Linked DNA regions of Oryctolagus cuniculus. The protein of the gene in region 1 purifies or fractionates together with the protein of each later gene. This does not show direct contact. Links are inferred from orthologs where the notes say so. Each region holds a gene or a part of one and is shown in the gene's direction. Other genes may lie near its edges.

Evidence for each region. Proteins that work in one complex are often made in the same cells at the same time.
Region 2: the proteins of SLC30A4 (region 1) and CIP2A purify together in Homo sapiens (affinity purification with mass spectrometry; 3 studies listed by BioGRID and IntAct, counting the BioPlex papers as one, with this or other methods). This does not show direct contact. The link is inferred for Oryctolagus cuniculus from reciprocal best matches to the Homo sapiens genes SLC30A4 and CIP2A.

The regions. Positions count from the first base shown.
Region 1 is NC_091443.1:68,139,227-68,143,234, reverse strand, and holds the start of SLC30A4 (probable proton-coupled zinc antiporter SLC30A4), read left to right. Parts: upstream 1-1,489; intron 1,490-1,521; 5' UTR 1,522-1,598; coding exon of another isoform or gene 1,599-1,634; coding exon 1,635-2,025; intron 2,026-4,008. Other genes in the region: collagen alpha-2(I) chain-like, read right to left, coding at 385-430, 872-1,489, 1,599-1,636. UniProt on the Homo sapiens protein: Probable proton-coupled zinc ion antiporter mediating zinc import from cytoplasm potentially into the endocytic compartment. Controls zinc deposition in milk.
Region 2 is NC_091435.1:64,317,188-64,320,840, reverse strand, and holds part of CIP2A (protein CIP2A), read left to right. Parts: intron 1-3,314; coding exon 3,315-3,511; intron 3,512-3,653.

The DNA.
Region 1 (4,008 bases):
GGGGCGACACTGTGGTGCAGCAGGTTAAACTGCCAAAACGCTGGCATCCCCTCAGGGCATGTGTTTCAGTCCTGGTTGCTCCACTTCCAAACCAGCTCCCTACTAACACACCAGGGAAAGCAGTAGAAGGCGGCCCAAGTGCTTGGGCTCCTGCACCTACATGGAAACCTGCATGGAACAGCCCTCGCTGTTGGGGTCATTTAGGGAGTGAACCAGTGGACAGAAAATCTCCCTCTCTCCTCTCTCTCTAGTTGTGCATTTCAAAGAAATAAAAAAAAAGTTAGATTTAAAATCAGAAAAAACTATTTAAGACTCAATTCTGTCAAATGATCTCTGGATTTTGTCTTTTCTTTTGTTAAACAGAACCAAAGGCCAAAGAGATACCTCTAGCAGATTTCTTGTGCTCAAGTTTGGTCCACACGGTAAATACCTGAGAGACAAAAAGAACTTGGCAGTAGCGCACAGAATACAATGAAAAACAATAGTGAACATAAGAAGGACACAGAACTGCTGACAAAAACAGCCTCACCCTCTCCAGTGGACTTGACTGGGCAGCAAATAATTTTTTAAGCCTCGCTTGTATTTTTATCTTTGTCACGGACAAACAATATCTGTACCATATTTATGGGGCAAGTGCGAGAATTCGATACACTATACAAAATGTAAAGATCAAACCAGACAAATGAGCATTTTTTCATCTCCTCGAATATTTATCATTTCTGTGCGTTGGGAACCCTTGCCAACAAGCCAGAAACGCAGCAATGGGAGGAGGGAAAAGTCGCTTGGCTTCCCACTTAGCAGGAAAGCACTCGGGCTGTTTTCTGAGAAGCTGCCACGGCCAGGATCCCGGACGGCGATTCCTGAGACCCACCTTCGCTGGAGGGGACTCCGGGCAGCCACGCCCAGCCCCGGGCGGGACCGTTCCAACCCAGCCACCAAGCCCGCAGACCCCGGCCCGGCCAGCACATTCTTCTGGGAGGAGGAGGAAGGGCCCCGGGAACGCCGCGCTTGGCCAGTGAGTGACCCGGGGCCGAGGCGACCCCGCCGGCGAAGGGGCGGCGCGACCCGGCGCAGCCCCCGCGCGCGTCCCAGCCCTGCGCGCCGGGCCTGTGTGTCCCCGCGCCGACCCCTCCCTCGCGCGCCTCGCCCGGCGCACGCGCGCGGCCTCGCGCAGGGCGGGGAGAGGCGGCGGCCGCGGGCGCCCGGCCCCGAACCTGTCAGACCCGGGGAGCCGGCCTCGAGCGGCGGGCGCGGCGGGCGCGGCGGGCGCGGCGGGCGCGAGCCGCGGCCCCGCTCCCTCGCGGCCCCGAGCGGAGCAGCGCCAGCCGGCCCCGCCGAGCCGGCGGGGGGTTGGGAAAGGGAGTAGCGGCCCCGCGGCAGCGCCCCAGGTAGATGCGCCGCCCCCCTCGCGGAGCCCCGGCGGCGCCTCGGGGCCGGCCCAGCGCCCCGCCGCCCGCGGCTTCGGAACTTGTGGGCAGTGTTGGGGCGCCTTTAATTTATAACGTGTTTCGTTTTCCACAGGATGGGGAGGGACGCGCGGCGCTGCCCTCGGGAACTGGCGCTCCGGTGAAGTAGAGCCGCCGGCCGGCCGCCTGCACCGAGCGGTTCCGCGGCGCGGCCGCTCAGCCTCTGCCATGGCCGGCTCCGGCGCGTGGCAGCGCCTCAAATCCCTGCTGAGGAAAGATGATGCGCCGCTCTTTCTAAATGACACCAGCGCCTTTGACTTCTCGGATGAGGTGGGGGACGAGGGGCTGGCTCGCTTTAACAAACTTCGAGTGGTGGTGGCCGAGGATGAGCCCGAGCCCCCGGAAAGGCCTATTAACGGGGCGCACCCGGCGCTCCAGGCCGACGACGATTCCCTATTGGACCAGGACTTACCTTTGACCAACAGTCAGCTGAGCTTGAAGGTGGACCCCTGTGACAACTGCAGCAAACAGAGAGAGTTACTGAAGCAGAGAAAGGTGAAAACCAGGTTGACCATTGCTGCTGTTCTTTACTTGCTTTTCATGATTGGAGAACTTGTAGGTGAGTTGTGTCGCCAACTCACTTTTCCATTTGCCTTGCCTCGAGAGTCTTTGTCGAGCTGTAGTTACACACGGGTTGAGGTTTAAACTTCCCTTTCGGGAAGTTTGTTATTTATCAAGATCCAGATCTCAGGAGGTGAGAAGGCCTCAGGAATTCCAAAGTGCAGCTCAATCTGAGTACCACAGACAGAAAACTAACCGAGATCACTTAGGCTGTATCTCCTAGTTCTTCCTACTCTGTGTCATTTACTGTCAAGTCAAGGGCAGTATCTTCATTGTATGTCGTGTGATTTCCCCTTTTAAGATATTCTGATAAAACATCAGATCTTTTTTTTTTTTCCGCAACGTTTAAAATAGTAGATGGGTCTAAAATCATAGAATTTTACAGCATGAAGAAGCCTTACTGAACAGATGATCCCCTACTTTTTCACACTTAAGGATTCTGACAGCCCAGAGAAGTTAAATACCACTGGTTTAAATGGTCTCTTATATAATTTCCTTTTGTATTTTATAGCCAAGAGACTCACAGAATTAAATACTACCAACTAACACAAAGGGTTTATTATTATTATCATCATCATCATTATTATAAAAAGAATCTGAAATGAACCAGAGGGCTCCCCCAGAGTTTTATGAACTTGATTTCCATTTTTTAATTATTGCCAAAAAACCACATTCTCACTATAATATATATTCTTAGTTTAGAGATTATTTTCAGTCATGTTACTGCATGGTCATCCTCTAGTATCTGTGGGAGATTAGTTCCCAGATTCTTGCAGACAACAAAATCCAAGTCCCTTATGTAAAATGGTTGTGGTGTTATTTCCATATAATCTACACAATGCTCCCATATCCTTTAAGTGATCTTTAGATTACATATAATATCTAATATAATGTAAATGATATGCAAATAGTTGTCATTCTTTAGAGAATAATGGCAAGGGGAAAAAGTGCATATTCAGCACAAATGCAGACTTTTCTCTGAATATTTTCGATCCATGGTTGAATTGGTGGTTGCAATGCATGGATGGAGGGTCAACTACAATTGCTAACTTCTCTTAGTGACGGTTTACAAAGGGAGATCATTCTCCTTTGTTGTCTCTTAATGAACACAATGAGAGAAGAAGTTATATACTTTTACTACCTCATTTCGTACCACTCCTCTCCAGTGCTTATTTCAGCCATACTGGTTTTTCACTTCCCAGAAATCACAAAGTTCTTTACTCCATTTAAGGCTTTCAATTCTGACTAGTCCTATCTTGGTGGCTTTCAAACTTTTTTTTTTAACTTCTCTATAGTAAGAAATGCATTTAACAATGTGACTCATGTAGGCATGCATACATACCTATATAAGCACATATACATGTGTTTAAATATATATACATATACTTGAAACAAGTTTTATTTCATGTGATATATTCTAATTTTTTTTAGTTGTATCCCTGCCCACTAAATTGACTTTTTGGTCCACTTACAGTAAGTCAGGGCCTGTAATTTGAAAAATGCCACGTGAACTGGCTTCTCCCAGAACTTCTCTTGGCTTGTTTGTCATTCATGTCTCATCTTGAAAGACACTTCTGAGAGATCTTACTAAAGTAAATCTCTCTCTTCCCCTTCTCCCTCCCAAATTTTCAAAACCGTTACTATCTGAGATAAGCTCATTAATTTGCTTGTTAAATATCTGTCTTCCACTGAGAAACAGACTGAAGTCCTAGCACCTAGAACAGTGACTGGTACAAAGTTGGCAATAAATTTTTGTTGAATTAATCGACTTCTATTCTGTTAGAGAATTATAAATGCTTAAACTATAAATAAAAGATGGGAGAGAAGATGTGGCCAGATGAGGCACAGTCTCAATAGACTGAAGATTTAATGTCTCGCCCAAATTCATGCAATTAGAATGTTGAATCATTCAGACAGTGATTTTATGTTTGTATTTAATATGCGAGATAAAGTAACATTAATCAGAATGTTCCTCCTTAAA
Region 2 (3,653 bases), on another chromosome or scaffold:
CCCAGCTTTAACCATTGCAGCTATTTTGGGGAGTGAACCAGTAGATTGAAGGTCACTCTCTCCCTCTCTCCCTCTCTCTTTCTCTCTGTAATTCCGACTTTCAAATAAATAAATAAATCTCTTTAAAAACAATTTCCGAATGAAAAACCTGAAAATCACACAGTTTATCTCCTATGATTATTTGCCAAGTTTAGTTGATTGTACCTTCTAAATATTACTGTGCTCTGCCTTGTCTCTGTTTCTGCCACTCTTTGCTATGGAACATCCGTTTTCTTTTTCATGAGATTCATAGCAGAACCTATAATTAGTCTTCCTGCATTTAGTCTGGTGCCCTCTTCTTTACTACCCTCTACGCTACAGCCAGAGTCACCTGCCTTTTGTATTTAGTTCTTCCCTCTCTCACCTGCAGTGATCTCTGGTGCAGTAATATTATACTGCCCATCCAGTGATGTGTATTATTCATAGGCGCTGCCATCAGTTTCCAGAATATCATTAAAATTCCTTAGTTTGGAATACTAGGATTCCAACTGTTCCTCAATCCATATCTGACATTTCTGCACATGTTTTGTTGTCAACCACTTTAAATTATTTGGCATTTTCTGAGGCTTCCCAGGCCCTTGTATTTTCCTATCTTGGTACCTTTCCCTCTCTTTGTTTGCCTAACTCTGCATAATACTACAGATTTTAAATACCGCCAGTTGCCAGAAACCTAATACAGTCTTCTTCCTGCTTGTGTTTGGCAATCCTTCCTCGATATTTCCACCTTTATAACATTTCTTATACCATGTGAAAATCATAGTACCTTCCATTCCACCTGTGATACCTACAAACCCTAGCACATACTTGGCACATGGTACTAGCTATGTTTGGCATATATATATATATATACACACACACACACACACACACATACACCTAATGTGCACTTCATGGGTGAGAATATAGTGCAGTAATATGAATTCCCAGCAAATACAAATGGAATTTATACAACTTGTTTTCGTTGCCAATTAATCATAAAAAAGTTGTCCAACTTTTGAATTAAGATATGATCAATGGCAAAATATCTTTTAAGTCTTTTTGGAATAAAGGTATTCTACAAAATATAAAGGAATATAACCAGGTTTCTTTATGCTATTTTTATGTTAACATAGTTTCGTTTGTCTTGTGTGGTGTGTTGAATGTGTCATCAAGTTCATGAAGGAAAATTAGTGGAATTAAAATCATTTTTTCTTGTCTTTTCTCATAGCATAGTCTTATATTGTATCAATTGCTCATTTCTCCCATTTTGTTAGAGAATTTAATATTATTTGTATGTTACTGGAAAATTTTCTCATAAAAGTAACACTGAATAATTGAGTATTACTTCTTTATGATCTATGTCATAAAAATAAAGAAGGGCTTATGTTATCATCTGGCATTTTAAAATAAGTAGTATTTTTAAGACTAAAGGAATGGAAAGAGTCCACTTCTCATTTCAGTTACTTTTCTGTTCCTTTAATTTTTTTTTAAATTTTTTTAACTTTTATTTAATGAATATAAATTTCCAAAGTACGGCTTATGGACTACAGTGGCTTCCCCCCCATATCATCTCTCCCACCCGCATCCCTCCCCCTTCCCACTCCCTCTCCCCTTCCATTCACATGAGGATTCATTTTCGATTCTCTTTATATACAGAAGATCAGTTTAGCATACATTAAGTAAAGATTTCAACAGTTTGCTCCCACACAAACATAAAGTGAAAAATAATAGATGATTTTTTAAATGATGATGAAATCAGATCAGACCTATTGTCATGTTTAATCCCAGTGAGAGTCAAGTTGGGAATTGATAATTTCTTCTTTTTTTTTTTTTTTTTTACAGAAGATCAGTTTAGTATACATTAAGTAAAGATTTCAACAGTTTGCACCCCCATACAAACACAAAGCGAAATATACTGTTTGAGTACTCATTATAGTATTAAGTCTCAATGTACAGCACATTAAGGACAGAGATCCCACATGAGGAGTAAGTACACAGTGACTCCTGTTGTTGACTTTACCAATTGACACTCCTGTCTATGGCATCAGCAATCTCCCTATGCACCAGTCATGAGTTTCCAAGGCTATGGAAGCCTTTTGAGTTCACCAACTCTTATCTTGTTTAGACAAGGTCATATTCAAAGTGGAGGTTCTCTTCCTCCCTTCAGAGAAAGGTACCTCCTTCTTTGAAGACCTGTTCTTTCCACTGGGATCTCACTCACAGAGATCTTTCATTTAGGGTTTTGTTTGTTTGTTTGTTTGTTTTGCCAGAGTGTCTTGGCTTTCCATGCCTGAAATACTCTCATGGGCTTTTCAGCCAGATCGGAATGCCTTTAGGGCTGATTCTGAGGCCAGAGTGCTGGTTAGGACATCCACCATTCTATGAGTCTGCTGAGTATCTCGCTTCCCATGTTGGATCATTCTCCCCTTTATTTATTCTATCAGTTAGTATTAGCAGGTACTAGACTTGTTTATGTGCTTCCTTTGACTCTTAGTCCTTTCATTATGATCAATTGTGAACTGAAATTGATCACTTGGACTAGTGAGATGGCATTGGTACATGCCACCTTGATGGGATTAAATTGGAGTCCCCTGGTATGTTTCTAACTCTACCATTTGGGGCAAGTCAGCTTGAGCATGTCCCAAATTGTACATCTCTTCCCTCTCTTATTCCTACTCTTATGTTTAACAGGGATCACATTTCAGTTAAATTTTAACACTTAAGAATAACTGTGTATTCTGTTCCTTTAATTTTTCAAATCACTTGTTAAATATAGGTTTTGTTCCCTGATTGTATTAAATGTTTGAATAAGCATCTGTATTTTAGAACAATGACAAGTTAATCATTCATAATTGGAAAATCTAAAATACTCCAAATTAGCACCAACACATGTCTCAAGTAAAAACATTATACATCATGAAACTTTCACACAAAATTGATAATGTATTAAATAATCTTCAGGTTCTGTGTATACAGTATATATAAAGCATAAATGAATTTCATGTTTTGAGTCATATCTCATCTCCAAGATATCTCATCTATATACAGATATTCCAAAAATCAAAAATACTTCTAGTCTTACGCATTTGGATAAAGAGTTCTCAAACTATATTAAATTATTAGAAGTGGTTACGTAATAAGTGCATATATGTCATATATACTTACTATGGCTAATATAATTTTACATAATCCAATGAATACTGTCTATTAGATTTTTGGTGAATTTTTTAAGTTGTAGAAACTTGAGTATATTATTAAATAATGTTAGAAAATCTCATGTTGTGTTTCCTCTTAAGGCACGTACACTGGCTGGTATGTTGAGAGAAGTTGAGAAGAAAAATGAAGAGCTTAATGTGTTGCTGAAATCACAGCAGGTTGAATCAGAGAGAGCCCAGAGTGATATTGAGCATCTCTTTCAACACAACAGGAAGCTAGAATCTGTGGCTGAAGAACACGAAATATTGACAAAATCCTACATGGAATTGCTTCAGAGGTAAACTAAGCTTAAAATCTAGAATGAACACACAGCATTTCTTCTCCTTGACCCTGAAATGCTTTTGTAAGCATTTTATGTATTCTGATAATAGTATAAGGTAATGGTAAGTAATTAGTGAGAAACTTAAGTCATAGTGAAA